Linked DNA regions of Callithrix jacchus. The protein of the gene in region 2 binds, or shares a complex with, the protein of the main gene of each other region. Links are inferred from orthologs where the notes say so. Each region holds a gene or a part of one and is shown on either strand. Other genes may lie near its edges.

Evidence for each region.
Region 1: the proteins of RANBP9 (region 2) and GID4 are in contact, whole or in part, in a cryo-EM structure (PDB 7NSC), measured with the Homo sapiens proteins. The link is inferred for Callithrix jacchus from reciprocal best matches to the Homo sapiens genes RANBP9 and GID4. Residues at the interface, in NP_005484.2 of Homo sapiens: Ser223, Lys224, Gly225, Arg226, Asp227, Gly228, Tyr229, Met230, Gly256, Asp257, Thr274, Phe275, Thr276, Thr277; in NP_076957.3 of Homo sapiens: Leu187, Arg189, Asp194, Glu195, Asn216, Asp218.

Annotation. Positions count from the first base shown.
Region 1 is NC_133506.1:69,115,182-69,119,297, forward strand, and holds the start of GID4 (glucose-induced degradation protein 4 homolog), read right to left. Parts: upstream 2,806-4,116; 5' UTR 2,734-2,805; coding exon 2,296-2,733; intron 1-2,295. Other genes in the region: ATPAF2 (ATP synthase mitochondrial F1 complex assembly factor 2), read left to right, coding at 3,199-3,331.
Region 2 is NC_133505.1:17,020,583-17,024,229, forward strand, and holds part of RANBP9 (ran-binding protein 9), read left to right. Parts: intron 1-3,324; coding exon 3,325-3,509; intron 3,510-3,647. UniProt on the Homo sapiens protein: May act as scaffolding protein, and as adapter protein to couple membrane receptors to intracellular signaling pathways. Acts as a mediator of cell spreading and actin cytoskeleton rearrangement.

The DNA of each region.
Region 1 (4,116 bases), on a different chromosome or scaffold from region 2:
ATGCTAAGTGAAAAAAGCCAATCTCAAAGGGACATACACTGTATGATTATATAAAATGTCCAGAATAGACAAATTAAAAAAAATAGATGAGGAGTTGCCTAGGATTGAAGTGGGCGTTATGGCTAAGGGGTACAAGGTTTCTTTTTGGGGTGATGAAAGGTTCTAAAATTAGGTTGTGGTGGTGGTTTAACAAATGTGAATATACTAAAAACTACTGAACTGTACACCTTAAATAAGTGAATTGTATCTAAATAAAGAAAAAGGGAGGGTGGAAGGGAAGGAGGGAGGGAGGAAGGAAGGAAGGAGAGTTGTAAAAGGCAGAAGTATTTTGTGTCTAAGAAGGCTGTATCTGAGAAACTAGTCCTGACTGAAAAACCAGCTGATGGGGCAATTCACATACCACTAAGTAGTCGTGATGATGACCAAGCAGCTCCCCAATCCAGATGTAGGGCAGCATTCCTTGGCATGACCACCATCCCCACCAGCAGACTTCCTACTCAAGTGGCTCCCAGCCATCTGCCAGGTTTCTGCTCTGAGCTGCCTGAGACCTATCAGCCCTGTCCCAACTCAATCACCGCTTCCACTGGTTCACGATTCTCCTTCTGACAGGAGCTCAGAAGTGACACCCAAATGACAGAAGGGAGCAGTAGTTGCTGCAGTTGTCAAAGCAGACTCCCCTTTGACACCTGGCTACCCTGCCAATTATCCCCTACTACATGAGAAACCATCAAACTCAACAATGGGGACAAATCCAACACCATCCCAAACATGACCCACCCTGGGTTCTCACCTCCAGAATTCTGATTAGGTGCAAAACAAACCGAAATGATGTTCACATTTTAAGAAAACAAGAAGAGGATCACCACATTAGGCATATAGTTATGAAGACAAAAATATTTCAACCACAATAGTTTTTCCATTATAATAAAGATTGTGGTTCATGTTAGAACTTTACAGACCAAAGATAAAATTAACATGATGATGCTGTTTCAAGTAAGCAGAGAAAACTATTTACTCCCACACAGCAGTATGAGAATGAAAGAGTGATGCCTGCTCTGCAGATAGCAGAAAGAAAAGGCACCCTCATTGTCTTTTGAATGGGATACCTACTCTTCAGAAGTAAAACTAAGATTTAGAGTTTTAACCCGTCAAAAGGCAAGCTTGAGGAACAGATACACTGTACATTTCACCCTCACACCCGGGGGGCAGTATTTCAGCTGGCAAAAAGTGTCAGGCCTGAGAGGAGTGAGGTGTGGGAAAGGCCCACACAGGTGAAGCTGTACTTCCAAGGCTGATCAGGAACTGGCAGCAGGTATTCAGGAATCCAGGTCAAATGCAGGGAGGCTGCTGGACATGAACTAAAACTGGGTGAGTTAGATTTCCCAGTACATGGGTCTCAGACACTGGGAGGAAGCCCTGTGCCTGTGTAGAGAAAAGTTAAGAACAGCAAACAGGGTCCCCTGGAACCAGGATCGAGCAAGACGAAGATATGGGGTGGGGAATCTGGACAGATGCCAGGAAGATTAGAAGACTGCAAGTGGTCCCAGAGCAGGGGCAGGAGGCTGGGAGGTGGAGCAGCTGGAAGGGGCTGGGTGCCTGGAGCATGAAGAGAGGGAAGCAGCGAGTGGAACAGGGGACCCAGGAGGCAAGATCCCAGCAGACTGTGAGCAGCACTCAGGGAGTGAGTGTCTGGTCTTGAGGTGGGGCCAGGGCCTGACCAATCAGTGGTGCGTTTGGTGTTCCCCCGTCTGAGGGGTCTGATGAAGCCCTCCTAAGGAGATCTCAGGAAGAGGAAGCCCCCAGGGTCTGCGGATTCCTGGGACTGAGGAAGAGGCGGGAGGGCAGGACTCAGTTCTGAATCTGACATGGGCCCAGACACGGGGAGTGTCCAGAGTCTGGTGAAACCAATGGAGAGTTCTTCAGGGTCTGAAAAGGGCTCGTGGCAGTCCCTGATGTAGGGACGGCAGGTCATGAGGAGGGAGGACCCGGGCCTTCCCCGAGTCATGGGGGCTTCCGGATCCCGGACCGGCCGGTCACCGGCTTCAAGTCTGGGAGAGTGTTCGGGGTCCGCCAGAAGCGGGTCTTGACGGGCTCTGGATCTGAGGGGGCAGGTCAGGGCTGGGGCTCGGAGAGTGTGAGGCACAGGCTGGGCAGGTCCCGGGTGGGAAGCGCCGGGTGCAGGAGGCCCCGGCGACGAGGGCCTGCTCCGCGGCTGCCGGCTCGAGGAGCCGAGACGGGCACGGCCCGTGAGCGCCGCGAGGAGGCCCTCGGGCCCCGGCCCGGCCCGGCGCTCACCTGCAGCACCACCTCTACGTCGTACGAGTTCCCCTTGCTCTTCTGGTGGCCGCGGAACTTGGAGCCGCTGTAGAGCAGGCTGGTGGCCACGCCGGGCTGCTGGGTGTTGATGGGCGGCGGCGGGATGAGTGAGGCCGCGGAGGCAGCCGAGGCACCGGCTGGCGGGGGACACTCGGTGCGGACCGGCATCGCGGGGTCCCCCGGAGCCAGGGCTGGGGGGAGTGGGAGAGGAACCGCCGCCGCCGCGCGGGAGCCAAGGAGGGTGGCTGGGAGGGAGAGGCCGAGGCGCGCACGCGCAGGGTGGGGGCGGGAGGGGCGACCACCCGTCCGCTGTATGCAAACTAAGCGCTTCGGCCGCCACCGCGACCCAGGGACCTGAGAGCAGGGCCTCCCAGTCCTGAGCTGGGTCCCCCTCCCGACTTGCCCTCGCGCACACATACACACACACAGACACACACACACACACACAGACACACACACACACGCACGCGCGCGCACGCACAAACACACACCCCGCCCCTTCCGATTGGCTCGGGCGAGCCGGTGAGGGCGGGAACAGGTTTACACGGCGCTTCCACCCATTGGCGGGAGGAGAAAGCACGTGGTGGGGTGCGCGAGCGGCCCGCTGGGACTTGTGGTCTTCTCGCTGAGGCGCGGCGTGGAGGGGGCGGAGCGAGGCGCGTTTGTGATGCTAATTGACTGGGGGTGTGCGCAGGAGGCGTGCGGCGGCGACGGCACGCCGTTGGTGTCATGTGGAAGATGGCGGCATCCAGGGGAGGCTGCGGGCTCTGAGGGGGCGGTGAGAGGTTTCCGTACAGCCCGATCGTGCGGCTTTGGAGGTCCCTTCGCTCCGTTTCCTGCTCTAGGTTTCACGCTGCGCATCCTCCCAGACTATCGGGCGCGATGTGGAGGAGCTGTCACCGGCTGCGGGACGGGGGACGCCGCCTCCTGAATCGGCCTGCGGGTGGCCCCAGCGCTTCTAAGAGTCCGGGGCTAACCATCCTGTCTCCAGCCCGGGCTTACGCCCCGCCGACAGGTGAGGCCATGAAGGGCCGAGCTGGGGGTAAGGTGGAATTCGGACTTCTGCTGTGCAGGGCGGTGTGACTGAGGCAGGGTTCAGGCTCATGAGGTTATGCAGGCCAGTCGGGTCCTTTTACAGACGAGAAAGAGAAGCCCAAACAAAGGCAGACGACCCGAGGGGGAACAGCGCGTCCTGCACGAGACATTAATTGATATTTGGCCTGGGCAGCTTTTCTCAAAGCTTATGGCTGCCCTCTCTTTAATGAGGAAAGCAAGTGTCATCTTTGTTTTCCAAAGGGGAGGTTTGGGCCCTGAATCAGAACTTCGCCTAGGTTACAGAGCAGACTCGGGTTTCTGGAGTCTGACTGCTTTCTATGTCTCCACTGCCCAACATAAGACCTGCACAGAAGGGCCAAGTTCAATCAGTCCTCCATCCCGGGCACTTTAGCTGCAGGTTTCCTGACTTTCCATCCTGTGCAACCCCTGCCATCTGCAGCCTTCTCTCTCTCCTAAATAGAAATTGACACCTCCATCTCTGATTTTGGAATCACCTCCACCTCCAACTCTGATGAAGCTTAGAAGTTGTGGCTCTTTTGTTGCTGATAGTGAGTGGTGTTAGGGTGAGAGGGCAAATGACTCATTTCAGTGAAGGAAGAGCAGTAACACCCTCCCGCCACCATTCAATTACTTTTATTGTGCTGGGGGCAGGAGGCGCAGTAGTCTTTAAGACCCACCTGTATGTATTGGTAGAGAAGCTCAATTAAAGAAGAAAAGGCCCACCTGAATGATGTTGACTGTTCA
Region 2 (3,647 bases):
GTTAGGAGTTCACTACCAACCTGGCCACCATGGTGAAACCCTGTCTCTACTAAAAATACAAAAAATTCACTGGGTGTGATGGCGTGTGCCTGTAATCCCAACTACTCTGGAGGCTGAGGCAGGAGAATCGCTTGAACCCAAGAGGTATAGGTTGTGATGAGCAGAGATCAGGCTGTTGCACTCCAGCCTGGGCAACAGAGAAAGACTCCATCTGAAAAAAAAAAAAAGAAGAAGAAGAAGAAGGAAAAGAAAATACACTTTAGAATCAGTGGCTGGTTAGAGTTTAATTTGCGTTGTGTTTTCCTACACATAAAACAGTGATATTTGTTGTTATTAGAATCTGAGATTTGATGAATGTGGTATAATGTCACCTATCTGTGGATATTTTAAAATTTTGTTTGCATTACAAATAATGCTACAAGATATGTCTTTGCACATGCTTGCTTTGAATAAACTCAAGTGAAATTACTGTCGATTTTAATAGATTTTTCCACATTTCTTTATTAAAAGATTATGTCACTTTACATTTCTGTGTGCAATAGATGAGGTTATTTTCCCAACCCTTATCAACATTGGTTATTCTCAGCCTTCCAAGTGTTAATCTGATGTTCAAAAAAGTTTTTAATCTTGCATTTTAAATTTAATTGATTTTATTTTAAGTACACATTAAAAAATCTGCATCTAAAGACTTGAATGCAATTAAGCGTGTCTATATGTTGTCATTTTTATTTCTTCTACAAATTGTCTACATATTCATTGCCATTTTTAAGAATTTGAACTGGTAGTCTTTGTCCTCCTGAAGTGTGAGAATGTTTTCTATATTTGGAATACACATTTTGCCATATGCATGGTACATTTTTTTTTTCTAGAAAGTCATTTGTCTTTGCCATTTGTGGCATGTTTTGTCATAGGGAATTTTAAATTTTTATGAAAGTTTTATCAGATAATTCATGAATGTTGATTGTCTTTGATAGTGTTGACAGAATTATTTTTCTAAATTTGTTAGACAATTTAGATGAGCAAATCATTTTGAAAGTGTCTTTATTTAGACAATACTGAATATCATAATTGTAAACTTTGCTTAATGATAAAATTGCCTTTCACTCTGTTGATTTCTTTATTGTTTTTGGCTTATATGCTTTTGTTTTAAAGTATCTCATAACTCTAGTGGGTTTTAAGGCAAAGAATACTATGCTAGAAGTAGAGAAATGTGAGGTTCTTTTTTTTTCAAGTGCTGCCATTAGCAAGCCGTGTGCTTTTAAATTGTTTCTGTAAAATCCTTTTCTTGTTTTCTTGTTTTTTTTTTTTTTTTTGAGATGGAGTCTCACTCTGTCACCCAAGCTGGAGTGCAATGGCATCATCTCAGCCCACTACAACTTCCACCTTCTGGGTTCAAGCAATTCTCCTGCATTAGCGTCCCAAGTGGCTGGGATTACAGGCGTCCGACACCACATCCAGCTAATTTTTGTATTTTTAGTAGAAATGGGGGGAGTTTTACCATGTTGGCCAGGATGTCTCGATCACTTCGCCTTGTGATCCGCCCGCCTCAGCCTCTCAAAGTGCTGGGATTACAGGCGTGAGCCACCGCGCCTGACCTATTTTTTTCTTTTTTTGAGTTGAAGTCTCGCTGTTGTTGCCCAGGCTGGAGTACAATAGTGTGATGTTGGCTTACTGCAACTTCTGCCTCCTGAATTCAAGTGATTCTTCTGCCTCAGCCTCCCAAGCAGCTGGGATTACAGGTGCATGCCACCACACCTCACTAATTTTTGTATTTTTAGTACAGACAAGGTTTCCCCATCTTGTTCAGGCTGGTCTTATACTCCTGACCTCAGGTGATCCACCCACCTCAGCCTCCCATGGTGCTGGGATTATAGGCATGAACCACCACACCTGGCCTGTTTCTATAAAGTCTTTAGGTCTCCATTTTCTCATTGGCGAAATGGGAACGCTGTACTGTCTCACCTGTTTTTAGCTTAAAAGTCTATAAACCTGTTAGGTTTGTAAGTCTGTAAACCTTTAGCTCTGTTGATTATTAAGAATCTACATTTGCATACTTTGCTTTAACCATTTATTTCCATAATTCAGTAGTACTTTGTTGATGTTTGGCCGCAATATTTATTTTGTTTCTTATTTGTTCTGCTTGATCAAATAGTTGTTTTAAAACATATCCTCTTTAGCATTTTATTGTGAAAACTATTTAACATCTTTATTCACACCGAAATTATCCACTCTTGATCTTTACCTTGTTTTGTACTGAAAATACTTATTATAACTATTAAATCAAAGATATAAGACATAAATACAGAAAACAAAAATATGGTAGGATTTGGAGTTACAAGAGGAAAAAATCCGTCATGGATGTGGTATAGACAAACTTGTGTGTCAACTCCATTTCTGTCACTTGTTAGCAGAATGACCATGAGCAAGTTATTTAACCTTGAATCCTCATTTTCTCTATCTTTGTAGTAGAAATAATAAGAGTGACCTCACAGAACTATTATGATTAAACCCTGGCATTTAGTAGACACTTGGAAACTCATTCTCCCTTTAGATGTAACAACCAATTAGTGACACAGCCAAAAGAATGACTCCTCTATTTTTTTGTATACTTGAGGTTACCACCTTTTCATCTTGAGTAACCTTGAAATCCTGGAGTGTACGTGAATGCATTTCTGAGTTTAGGTATTTAAATTAATCCTTTTCCTCCCTTGAAATATGTACACTTGAGTTTTGTTTTTTCTAATTTAATATAGAGAATCCCCACTCTTCATGGCACTGTGTTTTGCTTGTAGTTAAGGTCTTATCCCCTTCCCTTTGTAAAGTTAGGCATCCCAAATGTGCAGAATGAAAATAGTAAATTTAAGCTATTACATGCCAGACTAGCTGAGATTGTACTTTTATGGTAACTAGCTTTAACATGCAATTTATAGAAATGTATCATATAAAATCTGGGGTAAACCTGAGTTATATGTTTATATTTGAATTTCTATAACTACTATATGACATAATCTTTAGAACAAGAATTACATCTCTATATATTAGTAGCATAGTGCCACATGTTATAATACAACGTTGTCCCTGAATCAGTAAAATAGAGATCTTGGGTTGCTATGTTTTTTCTTGATGATTAAATTGCAGGAAGTGATATTTTTTCATCTAACATACAATGTATTTTAGATCATTTGTTTTAGCCTTCTAATATTTTGACTGGGATTTTAAAATATAAAGTAAATTTATAGTTCTGCTCTTTTAAAGATAACATTAAAATAATATTAAATCTAACATAAAATGGATAGCTGTTTAATGAAATATGTTATCTTACAGCCAAATTTGTATCCTACTGTGGGGCTTCAGACACCAGGAGAAGTGGTTGATGCCAATTTTGGTCAACATCCTTTCGTGTTTGATATAGAAGACTATATGCGAGAGTGGAGAACCAAAATCCAGGCACAGATAGACCGATTTCCTATCGGAGATCGAGAAGGAGAATGGCAGACCATGATACAAAAGTAAGAGTGAAGAAATTTGAATTGACATTATTCAGAATATATTTTTTATAAGACATTTATTCTTTTGGTATTCATGGAAACTTTTTAATCAGTTTATATACTAATATCTCTACAATGTTACTGATTTTATTCTCTCAA